Linked DNA regions of Cricetulus griseus. The protein of the gene in region 5 interacts with the protein of the main gene of each other region in a pairwise test. Links are inferred from orthologs where the notes say so. Each region holds a gene or a part of one and is shown on either strand. Other genes may lie near its edges.

What was found.
Region 1: the proteins of Ubqln4 (region 5) and Ptn interact in a two-hybrid assay, tested with the Homo sapiens proteins (2 studies listed by BioGRID and IntAct). The link is inferred for Cricetulus griseus from reciprocal best matches to the Homo sapiens genes UBQLN4 and PTN.
Region 2: the proteins of Ubqln4 (region 5) and Prpf40a interact in a two-hybrid assay, tested with the Homo sapiens proteins (2 studies listed by BioGRID and IntAct). The link is inferred for Cricetulus griseus from reciprocal best matches to the Homo sapiens genes UBQLN4 and PRPF40A.
Region 3: the proteins of Ubqln4 (region 5) and Spp1 interact in a two-hybrid assay, tested with the Homo sapiens proteins (2 studies listed by BioGRID and IntAct). The link is inferred for Cricetulus griseus from reciprocal best matches to the Homo sapiens genes UBQLN4 and SPP1.
Region 4: the proteins of Ubqln4 (region 5) and Atxn1 interact in binary tests that used the Homo sapiens proteins (3 or more experiments, as listed by UniProt). The link is inferred for Cricetulus griseus from reciprocal best matches to the Homo sapiens genes UBQLN4 and ATXN1.

The regions. Positions count from the first base shown.
Region 1 is NW_023276806.1:191,420,665-191,424,923, forward strand, and holds the start of Ptn (pleiotrophin), read left to right. Parts: upstream 1-1,455; coding exon 1,456-1,570; intron 1,571-2,662; coding exon 2,663-2,836; intron 2,837-4,259.
Region 2 is NC_048599.1:121,221,628-121,225,146, forward strand, and holds part of Prpf40a (pre-mRNA-processing factor 40 homolog A), read left to right. Parts: intron 1-205; coding exon 206-314; intron 315-770; coding exon 771-835; intron 836-1,186; coding exon 1,187-1,351; intron 1,352-1,804; coding exon 1,805-1,913; intron 1,914-2,443; coding exon 2,444-2,594; intron 2,595-3,411; coding exon 3,412-3,519.
Region 3 is NW_023276807.1:166,257,090-166,259,407, forward strand, and holds the end of Spp1 (osteopontin), read left to right. Parts: intron 1-24; coding exon 25-321; intron 322-1,001; coding exon 1,002-1,391; 3' UTR 1,392-1,812; downstream 1,813-2,318. UniProt on the Homo sapiens protein: Major non-collagenous bone protein that binds tightly to hydroxyapatite. Appears to form an integral part of the mineralized matrix. Probably important to cell-matrix interaction.
Region 4 is NC_048596.1:265,665,677-265,669,653, forward strand, and holds the start of Atxn1 (ataxin-1), read right to left. Parts: upstream 2,812-3,977; 5' UTR 2,590-2,811; intron 1,510-2,589; exon of another isoform or gene 1,351-1,509; intron 1-1,350. UniProt on the Homo sapiens protein: Chromatin-binding factor that repress Notch signaling in the absence of Notch intracellular domain by acting as a CBF1 corepressor. Binds to the HEY promoter and might assist, along with NCOR2, RBPJ-mediated repression. Binds RNA in vitro.
Region 5 is NW_023276806.1:65,945,889-65,949,407, reverse strand, and holds part of Ubqln4 (ubiquilin-4), read left to right. Parts: intron 1-3,046; coding exon 3,047-3,272; intron 3,273-3,519. UniProt on the Homo sapiens protein: Regulator of protein degradation that mediates the proteasomal targeting of misfolded, mislocalized or accumulated proteins.

The DNA.
Region 1 (4,259 bases), about 130 Mb from region 5:
CCTCTAATCACAAGATGAGGAGGAGTCACCTACCTGATTTGCATGGAGCAATTCAGTGAGACTGTCCTAAGAATGCAGCTTTAGGGAGAGCAAAGCTTCTAATACTGGACTGTTGCCGGGGATGGAACTGGTGTTGATTAAGCAGGGTTCATGTTTTAAAGGGCAAAGTGGTAAAAATGTTAATTTTAGTTTGTTGGTAAAATATGTTTAATCATACTATAGAATCCAGTCATTGATAGAAAAACAAAACACAACTCCAATAAGTGACAATTCTAACATTGTGGAAGTTGATACAAGATTAGTTAGTAACCATGGTATCATATTTTAGATACTTATGAATTAGGAAAACAAGATGCATAATAGAGGGAGCACAGCACACACATGTGCATACCCATGCACATACATGTGCATACTCACACACACATATTATACCCCCAGGCACACATGAGTACACACACAGGAGTAGTCTCATTATTTACTAAAGAAATTGTAAAATCATTAAAAGCTAATCTATTGCAAGTTTTGGAAAAAAGGAATACAGCTCACACTAATAATAACCAAAGATTATTTGCACACTTTTGTGTGATCTATACAACACCATTAACACAGCAGATGGAGGTAAATGACCATCAACCACGTTTCTGCAATCAGTGGCTTTTTCAGAGCAGCTTAGGCAAGGTGAATATCTTGATGGAGGGTTATCACAGCATCTTTGAGTATAACAGGGATCTTCCTAGGGTTTTCTAGGGATTTTGACTTATGTGAGATGAGCAGTATTTCAATTTCTGAGCATGTATAGTCACTGCTCTCCAGATCTGAGGATTTAGTGGTTCTTGAGTAAAATCCATTTATGAATTCTTAGTGTTATAGCATGCCAGCTCTATATTTCTGTGTTTCACTCTAATGAGCAATGGGATGATACTATGTTTAAAATGAACATGGGTAAATAAGAATCAGAAATGCTGCTCATTGGTAGATATGCCTAAATATAAAAAACACAGTCAGTACACACAAGCTACTGTACACTATCATTTGTCACGGCTGTACCGAAGATTACTGTGACTGCAACACCATGAATGTTTCTAGGAACTTCCAGGCATCCTGAAGATGACTGTAGTTGTTATTAGCAAGTGATGCAAGCAACAGGATTGATTGTAGGAATCTGCTCAAAATCATGCCACGTGGTTCTCTTGCTTTCACAACCCCAGAGTCACACATAACAAATGGCTGTGAAATCTGATACGAAGAATGATTAAATTCTGCCCATGACCACGTGATTTACTGCTTTTGCAGCTGTTGGTGAGAAAGGATAAAATTACACTTTGTAATAATCAATACAGTTTTCCTAAAACCCAGTGTTCCAGAAGCTTCACATAGCATGCTTCATCAGAGAGTTGAATCTTCATCCTGACTTAGGTTGAAATCACCTTCTTCTTGTTCTCTTCATTTCCAGAAATGTCATCCCAACAGTACCAGCAGCAACGTCGAAAATTTGCAGCTGCTTTCTTGGCATTCATTTTCATCTTGGCAGCTGTGGACACTGCTGAGGCTGGGAAGAAAGAGAAACCCGGTAAGCAGTGGAGTCACAGAGAGATGTTTCCTTGGATGGTACCCAGGCAGCCCAGCTACCTGCTTATAGTTCTCCCACAGTTTCTAACATCCTTTCAATTATTTAGGGAAACCCTAAATTGCCCCATTTTGCTCCCGAATGAACATGCCCTTGGATAGTCATGAGTGGGCTGTGGTGTTGGGGGTCTCTTTTAGTCTGTGTCCTATACACATTTCTATTATGCCTTTTTACCCACAGAACAGAACCACACCATCAATTTTCAATGAAATTTTTAGTCTGACCACTACTACTTCTAATAGACATTCCCTCCTCATTTTTCAAGCTTTTTATAAACTACTTAGAATTTTTTATTTTGACAGAAATATTTCCTTCTTAGCCAGGCATTGGTGGCACACGCCTTTAATCCCAGCACTCAGGAGGCAGAGGCGGGTGAATCTCTGTGAGTCCAGCTTGATTTACAGAGTGAGTTCCAGAAGAGTCTCCAAAGCAATACAGAGAAACCCCATCTCAAACAACAACAACAAAACAAAACAAAATAAAAATGAAAAATATTTCCTTCTTTTTGTAAAATTTTACACTCTCAAATGTTTCATCAAAGATACACAAATCTTCAAATTTCATCTGGCACAAGTGTGTTAGCTGTTTGTTGCTGCATTCAGACACTTGAGGAGTGAATTTAAGAGGAAGATGGCTTTATTTCACTTAGGGTTTCAGAGGTGTGGGCCCGTCACTGCAGGCACGCGTGGCAGAATAGCTCATATTGTGGTGGTCAGGGAGCAGGCAGAGGGACAACGCCTTCATTCAGAAACATCTTTCTAAAAGGAAATATTAGTGATTCACGTAGAACAGTCTCTATCACACACATGACTTAGTAGTATTAGTTCCGTCTCTGCCCCCATGTTTTCTTTCTTTCTCCTCTTAACCATGCATTGACTGGATCATTGAGAAGACATCCCACTGTCTTCCTGGACAATACAGATAGAGATAAAAGTCATAGACTCCACAATCGAGGTTCTGAGGTGTGAACTTAGCCATATTCAAGAGTTCAGTACATTTCTGGACGGTGGTTGCTTTTTGTTTCCTCCCTTGCAGAAAAAAAGGTGAAAAAATCTGACTGTGGAGAATGGCAGTGGAGTGTGTGTGTGCCCACCAGCGGGGACTGTGGACTGGGCACCCGGGAGGGCACTCGCACTGGTGCTGAGTGCAAGCAAACCATGAAGACCCAGAGATGTAAGATCCCTTGCAACTGGAAGAAGCAGTTTGGAGGTCAGTCTCACCCTGTGTTCTTATTGCTTTAATCTACTATTCTGAAATACTTTTGGAACAATTCTATCAAATTCATTTTCAAAGCCAACTCATGTTTATATTAAATTAAATAAATATATTTTCTTAGACACACGGTGACCAGCCAGCTTTCCTCTTAGATTCAGCACTAGTGATATCAGGGGCTGGATTTTTGTTGTTTTTGTCTTGTACATTTTAGGGTAATTAGTAACATCCTTGTCATCTACCATTATATTTTCAACCATATTTTAATACAACCTACTCTACCAGCCAGGAAAACTGAGAAAATGTCATTTGATAGCCAAAATGACAACAGAGTCATATAAATTAGACTTTAAATAGTATGGGGTATGGTTAAGACTCACTTAAAAAAAGTTTGTGAGGCAGGGCATTGGTGGCACAAGCCTTTGATCCCAGCACATGGGAGGTAGAGGCAGACTGATCGCTGTGAGTTTGAGGCCAGCCTGGTCTCCAGAGTGAGTGCCAGGATAGGCTCCAAAGCTACACAGAGAAACCTTGTCTCGAAAAACCAAAAAAACAAAAGTTTCTTAAAGGACTCCTGTCATGAACATGTATAAAAATCTCAAGAATCAATATAGAATCAAAACAAACAAGCAAACATACAACCCTAACAATCCAGGAAGATAGTGAATAAATACCAACAGACATAATTTATGAGGAGAATAGATAATAATAAATAGACACCTGGAAAGATACTCAATTTCTCTGTCCCATTAAGGGAAGAGAGATTGAAACCCTGGTGACATGTTGCTATGTACCCATCAGAATGCCTGGAATAAAAACATTATGATACCCCTGGCAGTGAAGATGCAGAGACACTAGGTTATGTAGTTACTGTCAGTAGAAATAGAAAATGGCACAGCAATACTAAAAAAGATACTACTTTTTGGAGAGGTTGCTTGTTTTATGTTTGTATGAAATTAAACATGAGTTGACCTTACCATGTAACTCAGCAGTTTCTTGGGCGTTTTTCTTCCAGAGAAAATAAAATGTTTTCACAGAACACCTTATATGAATAAATAGAATTTGCATTTGTATGTATATAAATTAGCCAAAATAAAGCAATACAGGCATCTTTTAGTTGGCGATGGATAAATAAAGTTTGGGATATCTATATCGTGGATGGTTACTCAGTTGTACAAAAACATACAATATTGATTTACACAACGTGAGTTGATAGTCACAAATTTATGGTAAGTAAGGAAGTAGCCAGTCTCAGAGCCATAGAGATGGCTCAGTTGTTAGGAACACCTGCTTTTCGTGCAGTGGACCTGGGTTAGGTTCCTCACACCCATCATTCCAGTTCAAGAGGATCATACACCATCTCCTAATTTCTGTGGGCACGAGAGTAGCCAATCACAAAAGTTTACATAGTTTAAAATCT
Region 2 (3,519 bases), on a different chromosome or scaffold from region 5:
ATTTCCCCCTTATATTTGGCCTTTTTACAGGGCCTTATATCTGTAAATTTATTTCCTGTCTTCAGATAGTTTTATTTTCAGGGTTCATATAAGAAAATTTCTCTCAAAATTGTCAAGTTTTAGGTCAGCATCAGTTAAATGATTTCCTAAGCAGAAATTAGTTCCTGAAATTATGAATAGCATGTTTAAATTTCTCTCTCTCTAGTTTTACTCCTAAAAAAGAAGAGGAAGAGAGCCAACCAGCAAAAAAAACATATACTTGGAATACAAAGGAGGAGGCAAAGCAAGCATTTAAAGAATTATTGAAAGAAAAGGTATTATAATCTTTTTAAGTAACACATAATAATTTCCTAATAAATGTTCGCTTTGGTGCCTTTATTTAAAATACTAATTACTTGAACTGTTTTAACTGAAAACAAAGTAAATTTGTTGTGTTTTTATTGAAGAATGCTTTTGGAAACTCAACAAGGTATTATTTCACAATCATATTTTTGCCTTGATGTATAAGATTTTTTATTTAAATTATTGCTTGTCTTTTAGTTGGTGATCTAATGCGGAAAAAATACTGTTTCAATTTCAGTGTGAATTTTCTTTTTAGTCAATAAGTGTGTATCATAAATTTGCTTCATTGAAAATGGTTTTAGATTGTAAAAAAAAATCTGCAAAGGGGGAGGTGCTTGATATTTGCAATGAGTGTTAAACTTGCTTTCCTATGATAACCATTGTCTCTGTTGTATAAAATTTTAATTTTCCCTTTAAATAATTTTCAGCGGGTACCTTCCAATGCTTCATGGGAACAAGCTATGAAAATGATCATTAATGATCCTCGGTACAGGTAATACAATGACTTTAGAATTAACTTTACATTAATCTTAGGGCATTTAAAGTTATGTTCAACAGTTTAACTTTATAATACACAGCTGTTCATAGGTATATAATTATTTTAAATAGAGGTATTTTATGTGTTCTATAGCCAGAAATCCAAAAGGGTTGTCCTACAATTTGAGCACCTTGCTCCAAATGAAATTATAATCACTGAACACTAGAATTTGCTGTTTAAAATAATTGTATATCTTCAGTAAATTAGATATTTTCTTAATGTATGCGTCAAACATTTTTCTAAAGCAGTAACATTTTATTCTCCAGCCTTTATATTTATTCTTGTCTGATATTTTCTGTTATTTAGTGCTTTAGCAAAGCTGAGTGAGAAAAAGCAGGCCTTTAATGCCTATAAAGTCCAGACCGAGAAAGAGGAAAAAGAAGAAGCAAGATCAAAATACAAGGAAGCTAAGGAATCCTTTCAGCGTTTTCTTGAAAATCATGAGAAAATGACTTCCACAACCAGATACAAGTAAGATTTTTAATGATGGAGGCAATGTTCCCCCTGTTGTTTGTGTCGTACTTCTTGCTAACTCATCCAAAATGGATGGTCATGAAACAGCTGGGTAAATGAGCATGTGGCAGTTTTATAAGATAGCCAAAAAAATCAGTAACTTATAGGCTCACTTGAGGTGTTAGGGAATAGACATAATACATTAACTGTTACTGTTTTATAGTCTGCAGAAGGTGACTTGGGGGAAAGGGGCTATTTACATTGCAAAGCATTACCTAATGTGAATTGTCCTAAGAGAAAATAGAGACTTTGCTCTTCTGTTAATATTTTATTGATTTTCATAAAAGTTTTCCGAGTTAATGCATTTGTAAACTTGAAATGGAGAGTGTGTTAATTGAGTGCCTTTAAAAAAAAAAGTCTAAAATTGTACTGATGCATTAATCAAGTAACCCTTGATTTCATAATCACTAGAAAAGCCGAACAGATGTTTGGGGAGATGGAGGTTTGGAATGCTATATCAGAGCGTGATCGTCTTGAAATCTATGAAGATGTTTTGTTCTTCCTCTCAAAAAAAGAAAAGGTACTTTTTAAATTGTTGTTATTTCAACATTCTGAATAAGATTTTCTTTATTATAAATGAGTAAAAATTATAATGTCAGTTTCTTTGCTTAACTCCGTTAGTGTGTATATATCATATCTGTTCATTGGAAGCTGTGTTAAAAGATATAATGAGTAACTCATTTTTTCTCCTGTTTGTCAGTAAATTGTTTTGCATCTAGTATTGAAAATATTACTAAAAATTTGAATATCAGGGAATGCCTTTGTGTTTATATACTGACTGTACACAGTAGCCCTCATTATTAGTTATATCTGTAATGAATACTGGTAAGGCATAGGTTTATGAAATGAGGATACAAAACAATATAATTTTTTTGGATTTTGAATTCAAAGAGAGATGAAAAACTGAAGGTTTGGAAAACAGTAACAAAATGAAGGGTCTTGGTATATAATAACATTTGGACATTTATCAGAATATAAAGGAATCTTAAGTAATTATAATTTAGATATCTTGTTTGAATATTAAAAGCATTATTCAAATGTTTGTTGTAGGAACAAGCTAAGCAGTTACGAAAGAGAAACTGGGAAGCCTTAAAAAACATACTTGACAATATGGCTAATGTTACATACTCTACTACTTGGTCTGAAGCCCAACAATATCTGATGGATAATCCAACATTTGCAGAGGATGAAGAGTTACAGAGTAAGAACAATCACTACATAAGAAAAATGATAAGTAGTACCCCTTGAGTTATTCTTTACTTTCTGTATGAAATTCGAGGAATTGCTATTTTATGCAGTTGCTAGCTCAAATTTTACAAAATGATTACTATTTCTGAAAAAATACTTTATTTTCAAATGGGTTGTTTCTAATTGAATTTTGATTTAGAAAAATACTTTTCTAGAGATCTCAGTTAACATTTAACAGAAAATTCTTGAAATATGTAATAAATCAACTATTTATAGCTCACTGGTATCCAATCCCAGCATGGAGATGGAGTTGACCACAAAATCTTACTCTTAGCTGTAGAGCTTTAGCAACTGATGGCTGCTGGAAAGGAGACAGTTTTCTCAATCATAGCTCCTGATATATCAACTACTCTCAAGAGTAAGATCGTATATCCAACAAATTCTTCTTGGTGGATTTAAAATAAGTTTAGGGAGGTAGGGATGACAAAGTTAGCTGGCTAAGTGGTGTGTATATCTGTGAAGAAGTCAGTGGTGAATATGAGCAAAATGCACACAAAACTCACAGAACTAATAAAATTTTTTATCAATAAAATAATCTGTTTGGAATTAAGCATAACATTGCTCTGTTAGCCCGTTAATTTTGTCATGTGCATGTGCTCTTGCCTTTATTCTCTAGGATTTGAAGTCTTTCAAAACTTGTGTCATTACAAGATCATGTTTAAATTCAAATACAAACACTTTTAAACACTGAATTTGAAGTTTGTAAAGACTTTAATTAAACTGCTTTCTTTGTTAATATTTCAATTTTTTTAATCTGAAAAATACTTCAGACATGGATAAAGAAGATGCATTAATATGCTTTGAGGAACACATCCGGGCTTTAGAAAAGGAAGAGGAAGAAGAAAAACAGAAGACTTTGTTGAGAGAGAGGAGGCGGC
Region 3 (2,318 bases), on a different chromosome or scaffold from region 5:
GAGCCATCTTGATCTTTGATTTAGACTCTCCCAAGCAACTCCAATGAAAGCCATGACCACATGGATGATGACGATGATGACAATGATGACGGAGACCATGCAAACAGCCAGGATTCTGTGGACTCTGATGAATCAGATGAGGATGACCATCCTGACGATTCCCACCATTCTGATGAGTCTGATGAGTCCATTACTGTTACTACACAAACAGAAGTCTTCACTCCAGCTGTCCCTACAGTAGAGATCCCTAACGGCCGAGGTGACAGTTTGGCTTATGGACTGCGGTCAAAGTCTAGGAAGTTCCACATTTCTGATGACCAGGTAAATCCCTTGTCAGACACACAGAATGACTATGGCTTGAGCTCACTTCTAGGAAACCAGAGTATACAAATTCACCCACTATTCACCAAGAACTGCACATTTATTTGAAGTCTGCTTTATGGTCTTTGAATACAGAGCTTTTTTATTTTTCTATGTTGGCAGTCCTGTTTAAAGTGTACATAATATCTTTGTTAATTTTCTCTATCACACACAATTCTATCCTTCCAAATCCAGTATCTAAGCAATATTTAATAGGCATTTATGTTAGTTCAATAACTACTGCAGGAAGTTATTTGTGAAATATAATGGTCGTATTTGGAAGCCAAGTGTGTGAGAGGAACTGTAAAAGTCACAATTATAATGAACTTAGTAAAAGGGTCTGAATTAGACTCAGCCTTATTATTTTCTATTTGATTTAACTTTTAATGTCTTTCCATGTAAATCAGAGACTATGAGACCACCCTACAAGTTTTATCACAGACATAAAGGATATACCTATTAAAGTAGAAATGGCTGACACAATGGTGACTGGTAAAGTACAAAGTACATGCTAGTGCCTTTTCTTCTTCAATCAAGTTTTAAAAATACTTAGTACAGTTTGACCTAAAGTGTAGAGATAAAGGATTATAATGTTCTTATCCCTAGCTGTTTGTATAACTCTTCAATTTGTTCTGGTTCAGGATCCTGATGCTACAGATGAGGATCTTAGCTCCCACATGAAGAGCAAGGAGCTGGTTGACACCCTCAAGGTTATTCCGGTTGTCCATCGTCTGAACATGCCCTCTGATCAGGACAGCACTGGGAAGACCAGCCATGAATCAAGTCAGCTGGATGAACCAAGTGTGGAAACCCACAGCCATGAGCAATCCCAGGAGCACAAACAGAAAGCTAGTCATGAGAGCACTGAGCTGTCTGATGTGATTGATAGCAAGGAAAGTTCCAAAGCAAGCCAGGAACATCAGAGCCATGAAGACAAGCTAGTTCCAGACTCTAAGAGTAAGGAAGACATTAACCATCTGAAAATTCGTATTTCCCATGAAATAGAGAGTTCATCTTCTGAGGTCAATTAAAAGAGAGGCAAAACCACAGCTCCTTACTTTGCTTTTAGTTAAAAAAGAAGAAGAAGATTAGTGAGGGCTAAGCAAGAATATTAACTGCTCATTTCTTAGTTTAGTGGGTATATGTATGTGGAGAAGAAAATAGATAATATTTGGGGCTATTAGCTTAGTTTGTTGCTCCATGAAAACACCCTTGTAACCTAAAAGCTTCAGTACTTTGCCTCTGTTCTTTCTGTAGAAGTACAAATGGCCACTGCATCTTAATGATTGTTATTACTTTATGAATAAGATGTATGTAGACACAAGCAAAATGCTTTTACATGGATAAAAGAGAATCTATAACAATGTCACTACAATCTTTTGTTTTTATAATTAGTGTATATTTTGTTGTGATTATTTTGTTGGTGTGAATAAATCTTGTATCTTGAATGTAGCAAGACTAGTGGTGTCAATTATTCCTTATTGGTTTCTCAAAATTGGTTTGTGACTTCTAAACTGTAACCATTTTAATGAACTTGCCTGACTTAGTTAAAGCCATCTTACGGTTCTAGTGATCAGCAGAACAAGGTCTACCTGAGAGTTGATAGCAGGGGGAAAAACAAGGCTCTCGTATGGCATTTTCTTACCTATTTATAACATTCACTAGCTAATGTAAGAGCTAATGAAAGCCCGGATGTAGTCAAAAGTCAATTTATGTTTTCTGTCTTTATCTATTAATTTGTTCAGTAATCTTGTGGCTTTCCTTCCCTTATATAGGTTAGGTAAAAAGCAATATATATATATATATATATATATATATATATATATATATATATATTTAAATATATACAATATAATTAAAGAATTTAATGGTGTTTCAAATGAAAACAAATTTCTTCTCAATTTCATTCGAATGTGAAGTTCCAGAAGCTCTAAAGTAGCACACAAGCCTTACCTCTT
Region 4 (3,977 bases), on a different chromosome or scaffold from region 5:
CTGATCTAATTACATGAGTGATCAGGGCCGGAGTAAGTGTACAGAAAACTAACACCACTGACAGTATCTGTATGATGAGAGAGGCAGACAGGCAGGAGGCTTTTCAGCCTCCTATGGAAGGGAGCATTCAAGCCCATTTATTTGCAAAGCTGCTAAAATATTGACTGATGCATGGCCAGTTAGAGGACAATCAGAGGAGATTAAATGCCACAGCTAAACTGTTATGGTGCAATCCCTTCCCAAGAGTTCGTGCACATGTTTTTCTTTTGGTGGCTACCTCTAGCTTCCACTAGCATAAACTTCATTCAAAAATAAAATAAAAATAAACTCTCGGCTGTCAAACTGTCTTAGCTACCTACCCACCATCAAGAAACCAGAGGGTGGGCTTAACTTAGGGCTTCTAGGAACTGCAGGGCTTTTCAGAAAACCAAATAGAAATAGCTTGCAAACACTACTGAAAAGTAACCAGCTGTGCCTAAAAATAACCAGCATGTAACTACCTTGTTGTGTACGACCTATAGCAATGATGTTTAAATATTAAGGGGAGCTTGCATTATAAAACAGAAATGTCACTGAGATGAGACTAGATTGCCACAGGGAAACATATTGCACACACACAGTCCTCTGCATGCAAGGGTGAGAACTCTACTGTAAGGCACTACTTTTTATTCTGTAGGTGGTGTGGGGTCTTCTAATTTTACTAATTGTATCCTGTGGCTCTCTCTGAGAAGCTAAGAAATCTCTTCGGGGACAGAACCAGTTTGGAGGAGTTCCTACTGCACAACATACGGTAAACAAAATAAAAATAGCTTGCCTTTCTTGTTAGCCACATAGAGCATTATATAACCAGCTTCCGACTGGCTTTTTTTTTTTTTCGCCCTTACTACTCTTCAGCAATTTCCCAACCTTCCCAAGTATTTATATTACCCTCTTATCTGTAGGATTATGCAGAAAGAAAGCAAAACAAAACAGGACAGCCACGGGATCGAACTGAACTCCACCGTCTTAAAACCCTGATTTTTTTTTTTTTTTTCTGGCAGAGTCTAGATCACCATCCTACTTCCACCCCCCACCACTAAGGTCCTTGCTCAATCTCCCTAGAAAACCTGAATTGTTTCACCGCTTCCAGTCAGCTCTACGTGGTCTGAAATAAAATGAAAGCGCACAAGCCCCAGAGTTGAAGGAGGTGGCTAAGGAGAAGTCGAGGCGCTGCAGAGTCAGCCAAAGGACCACCGCGGGACCCCTCCCCATCTCGGAGGCTCTGGTCCCCACTCGGCGCGAGAACACACGCACACATACACACCTACACACTCACAGGCTCTCACTCCCTCCTCTCCGACCCCGCCTCACCTCTCGCTCCGCCCGTCCGGCCCCTTCCCTGCCCCCTGCGGGACCGGCCTGCGCGCTCCGTTGCAACCACGTAGGAGGCGCGGCGGCCGCGGCAGCCACGGCAGAGGCGGCGTCTCGGGCTCGGAGTGAACGAGCCGCGGGGCTCCGGGGCGCATCCCAATCCCCGCAGCGCCTCCTCCTCCGCCGCCTCCTCCTTCCCCTCCTCCCATCTTCATTCACCCTCCCTGCCGCCGCGCAGCCGAGCAGTCCCGGAGCAGGGCAGAGCCCCTCCTCGGCTGCTGCCTCGGGCGCCGGCTGGGACGCCGGGCCGGGCCGGGCTGGGAAGCTCGGGCTCCGGCTCCGGCAGCGGCGGCGGCGGCGGCGGCTGCTTTGGATCAGGAAGCGGCCGCACCAACAGGGCGGCGGTGGCGGCGGCTGCAGCCAGGGCCCGTCCCCGCCGCCACTCCCGCTGCGCTCCGATAGCCTGCGCGCCCCTGCCCCCTGCGCCGCCACCTCTCCTCTCCCCCAGGCCGTGCGCAAAGTCCCCGGTCCCCAGAGGCTGGCCTGGGCGGGGAGACCCCAGTCTTGGGGTCGCCTCGCACAAGCTAGGCGACCCCGGGCGGGGAAGCCCAGCCCTCCCTCGAGTCCCCGCGGCGCTCACCGCCCCCTCCCGGGAGGGAGAATTTGCAAAAGCGAAGAGGGCAGCGCGACCCTCAGCCGCTGCCGCCTCCCCCTGCGCCACCAGGAGGGAGGAGGACCAGGCTCTCGGCTCTCGCCGCCGCCGGGCCAGCAGCAGCCTGAGCGGGGCGCCGCCGCTCTCCCCACCCGCGCCCCTTGCCCGGGCGCGCCCCCTCTCCTGGGGGCGGCCCACCCCTGGCTGCTCCCCGGGCCCGCTGCTCCAGCGCCCAGAGTGGGGTCCCGAGCCGGGAGGCTGGAGCCCGGCAGGGGTATATGTACACACACTCACACACACGCGCGCGCGCACACGCACACACACACACACACACACTCACACACACACACACACGCACACACACCACGACGCGTCGGTTTCCTTCGCTCCTCTTCCAGCTGTTTTCCTTGTAGCCCATTGAGACTGGGGGAGGGGAGATTGTACGCTGGATGTTCTTTGGCCCCTCTCCGGAGAGAGAGGATTGGGGTGAGGGAGGGGGTGATTTTAATCTAAATCGAGGGGGGGGGAGAGGAGGAAGGGGGAGGGGGAGAGAAAGAATCAGAGGAGGAAAAAAAATAGCCACTTACTGTAAAGTGTAAATGGATCTGGGGTTGCGTGGGGAAGGGGGGACAGAGGGAGAGACACAGTGTCCTGCGGCTGCTGTAGCTCTAGCTGCGGCTCCACAGGGCTTGTTTTGGATCCCCCTGCAGTGAAACAGGTCCTGTACGGCTCCGCCACTGTAGTAGAAATGATGTCTGCGGTATACTCTGCTCTCTCCTCCTCCTCCTCCCCCCTCCCCTCCCTCCTCCCTCCGCCCGCCCTCCCTCCCTCGCGCTCTCTCTCGCGCTCGCTCGCTCGCTCCAGTATGTAAATGTGTAATAGAAGCCAAATATGGAGCAGTTGGCTGCCGCCGCCACAGCTCAAGGATCCGACTTCATGGGGGGGGGGGGGCACCCTCTGGCAGGCGGCCCGGCGAGCCGCACAGAGCACGGCGAGCGCACGGCGCGGCTGCCGGCCCGCGCCCTTAACCCTTCTGTGCACCCGGCCGGAGCAGCGGTCCCTCCCTCCAGGGGAGGCCCGGTGCCTCTCCCTAACTGCGGCTCCGGATCCCGGACATCGGCCCGTGGGGACTGTGCCTTCCAGGTTTGAGAAAGGGGAGGGGAAGTTGGGGCGATGAGGTCATTGGAGTGGTGACCCGTCGGAGCTCGCGCGCCTCCCCGTCTCCTTGCAACCTAGTTGGAGGGGACAGGGCGAGTGTAGGGTGCAACGCTCGCAGCCTGGAGGACTCACCGCAGCGGGTGTCAGGCTTCGGTTCCCACCTGGTAAAATAAGCAAGGATGCGGGGAAGTCGGCTGACTCTAATCCCGAAGTGACCTTGGTGCCCCCACCCCGCCACCCCGGTGTGTGTCTAAGAGGACTCACTGTATCCTCGCTGTTAACCCTCCAGCCGGTGAGCCCTGAGCAACCCGACTCTGGGCCCGCGCCTTGGCTTGCAACTCGGGAAAGTTCTCAGGCTTCCTCAGTTTGCACTGGCGCCCTCACCTTTCCTGCCCGGACAAGCTGGCAGCCTCCCGACCCTCCTATCTAATTCTGCAGGTCTAGAAATCTGCAGTAGGAATCAGACGTCTCAGTTCTAGCTCTGGGAGCCGACCTGCTCACTCCTTTCTCAGCTAACAGGGAATCACTCATTTCATCGGAAGTGAGGTAACCGGTGCCCCGACCATTCGATGGCGGTTCTCGGGAATCCACGGCAAAGGAACTTTCCCTGGTCCTGGTGGCTGAACGCAGACATAGAGTCCCCCCACCCACCCCCTCCGCTACAGCACTGCCAGGTGTGAGCTCGGTGGGAAGGAATCTTCCCCGGAGGAGTGTACCTTGCCAACAGGTGTGGCACCCGGAGAAAGAGCGGGCACAACCCTACAAGGGTCGCTCAGTGCCGAGTTCCCTTTGCTGCAGATAATTCTCGAAAACCAGT
Region 5 (3,519 bases):
ACTATATAGCTCATAGCATCCCAGAACTTGAAATTCTCCCAAGCCAGCTTCCCAAGTGTTGGGATGGATCACCATGGGCAGTGGGATTCTGCACTTCCAAAAAAAAAAAAAAGAGTGAAAAAAATGTTTTTATTTTATATGGATGGATGTTTTGCCTACGTATGTACTTGTGCACCGTGAGTGGAGGGCCTGTGGAGGCCAGAAGAAGGGATCAGGTCCTCTGAAACTAAAGTTACAGGTGGTTCTGAGCCACCACGTGGGTGCTAAGAAACAAGCTGGGGACCTCTGGAAGAGCAGCCAGTGCTCCTACCTGCTGATGCGTCTCTCCAGCCCCATGCATCTCTAGGATTGTGCACTTTTAAAAATGTTTTATGAGTGTAGAATGTTGTTCACTGGTAAAGTGCTTGCCTAGAGTATGTGAGGCCTAGGGTCATTTCCACCTCCACCAAAAAGAAAAAGCAAAACAAAATAAAACAGCTTTATGAATATGAGGTATGGCATCCCATATCTATAGTCCCAGCATCTAGGAAGATCTGGGGTTCAAGGCCAGCCTAACTACATGAAATTCTGTCTCAAGTAAATAAATAAACAGCGTAGCTCAGTTGGAAGACTGCTTGTTTAACATGCACAAGGCCCTGGGTTTGAGCCCCAGCAACACATAGTCGTCTGGTTCTGTAATCCCAGTACTGGGGACCCAGAGGTCATGGTCACCCTCAGCTACACATTAAGTTCAAAGCCAACTTGAGAAACATGATACCCTGTCTCCAAAACAAAACTAAATTGGATAGTTGAGAAAGACAACAAACACTCCACCTAATTCCTAGCACGCACATTAAAGCATAAAAAAGAAAAAAGAAAAAGAAAAAAACCACTGCTTTTACTAAAAGAATAAAGCATTTGGCATCCACAAACCCGGGTTCATATGCCTGCTTTGTCATTTTCTAGCAATGTGATTTTTTGTTTTGTTTTAACGAGACAGGGTTTCTCTGTATAGTTTTGGAGCCTATCCTGGCACTCACTCTGTAGACCAGGCTGGCCTCGAACTCACAGAGATCCACCTGCCTCTGCCTCCAGAGTGCTGGGATTAAAGGCGTGCGCCACCACCTGACTCTAGCAATGTGATTTTAAGTGGTCCCTCCCTGAGTTTTACTCCCTTGCTTTCACAGTCAGGTCATCCTTTATAGCAGTCGCTCACACATTTTGCCTCAGGACACAATTATTCCCTGAAAAAATGAGAGAATAAGCTGAGCGTGGAGCATACACCTGTAACCCCAACTCTCAAAAGGCAGAGGTAGGAGGATCACTGGGTTTGAGCCAGTCTGGTGTACGAGTTCTAGGCCAGCTAGGCCTACAGGTGACACGATGCCCACCCTCCCCCCAAAAAGATGCATTCATACTGTAATCCCATTACTCTAGAGATAGAAGCAGGAGGATCAAAGTCCAAGGCTAGCCTGGGCTACTAGAGACTATAAAAAACAAACATACAGAAGTTACAGAGGGTCCCTAAAGAACTTTGTTTTCGTGAGTGGGACCTTTCAGTATTCACGGCCAGAAATTAAAAACTGAAGTCTGGGCGTGGTGAGAGAGAGAGAACAAACTTAGAAGAAAATGTGGCTTTCCAGAAGATATCTTTTAATGTATGATCCTGTAGGACAGTGGGCTTATCAGGTCTGCATTGAACATCCCCTGCTACACAGCTTTCATAATAGAGTAAGTAAAAACAGTAAATTGGCATTGAGTTATGAAGACTTTCTAGTCTTTCAAGGGTTATAGGGCCACATTTTTGAGAGCTGGTGTATAGGGATATTATATTAGAATAAATGTGCCAAGGCATAAAGTAGGTGCTCAGTAAATGGTGGGTAGTCACAATGGTAGTTCAGGGAAAGAGATTTAGTTGGTAGGTGCACCAGGAAGAACAGAACAAGTTAAGGACTAGAAGTGGTGGAGATTACAGGAATGGGAAATCTGTTCCTTTTTTTTTTAGACAGGGTTTCCCTGTGTAGCTTTGGAGCCTATCCTGGAACTAGCTCTTGTAGACCAGGCTGGCCTCGAACTCACAGAGATCCGCCTGCCTCTGCCTCCCAAGTGCTGGGATTAAAAGCATGCGCCACCAACGCCCTGCTAGGAATGGGAAATCTGAAATGGCACTAATGCATAGTTTGTGAAGCCAGCTGGTTATCTCAACAACAGGTATATGTAGAAGCCAAGGAGCCTCAGCTCAGCTCAAGGTAGATGATTGCTCAGCTGTCTGCCTCTTGCTTCAAGCTCTTAAGTGAGCCTTTGTAAAACTGAGCTAGTGAAGAAGGGTCCAGAACTGCTCAGCACACAGGTCCCCATAGACCTCTGTCCTAGTTGCTGGAGGGAAGAGATTTGGTGTTACCCTTGGGCAATGTGCCATCTGATGAGGAACAGTCCCGAGTAGTCTTTGGGAGCATGGGAGAGGGACTGGGGGATCCACCCAAAGGACAGAGGAAGGAAACCTCAAGGGAACCCTTAGCCAGAGCACTGCTCCCTGGGGCTTGCTTCGATGACTCAAATGCCTCTCATCGGACCAAGGAAGTGAGCAAGAGAGTTCTGGGCATTAGAATTACGCCAAGGTGGCAGGGAAAGAGGGAGCTGGGGGCAGATGGGGTAAATTAGCCAGGTCCGACAGCCTGCAACCGCAAACCTAGCCATTCCTTACTGAGCACCTACTGGTGTTAGTGCTGAGGGTGTAAAGGTGAATTTGACATTGCCTCTGCCCCTTAACTACTCCAAGAGCAAAAATACCTCATTATATCACAGGAAGATGTATGTGAAAGGTTAGGTCACAGAACTGAAGGCAGAGACCCACATTGAGCACAAGCCAGGGAAATGGCATCTTTCCTGGGGGCTATGGCTGTCAGTCACTAGCATCAGCCAGGTGCCCTCTGCAGGGTCAGGTGAGGGTGGAGCCAGTCCCTTCATCCCCTGGGGTGGGGAGGTTCCCAGGTAAGAGCAGAGAGGGAGCCTCTCCTTGTCCCTGATTTGTTTCAGTCCTTAACCCAAAACCTTTCCCTCCTCTCAGTTTGGCAACAATCCCTTCTCTTCCCTGGCCGGGAACTCCGACAACTCATCCTCCCAACCTCTTCGGACTGAGAATCGAGAGCCCCTCCCTAACCCCTGGAGCCCCTCGCCCCCCACCTCCCAGGCCCCCGGGTCCGGTGGGGAGGGCAACGGAGGATCGGGGACCAGCCAGGTGCACCCGACAGTCTCGAACCCTTTTGGGATCAATGCGGCTAGCCTGGGGTCAGGTATGTCTTAGGGTGGAAGGAGCTTAGTGGGGTCACACTAGGGCAACCCCTCTGCCCCAGGACTGAATGGGGTTCACATTGCTTCAGTGTATATTGAAAACAGGTGAGACTGAATTAAAGCTACAGGTCTCAGTGTCCTGGGGCAATGGCCCTGCCCCCTCAGAGGAAGCTTTGTTGTGGTTGTGTCCCTGGTAGTGACCTAAGTAACAGCTCATGAGTAAACCAGGCCACACCTCCCACCTCCATG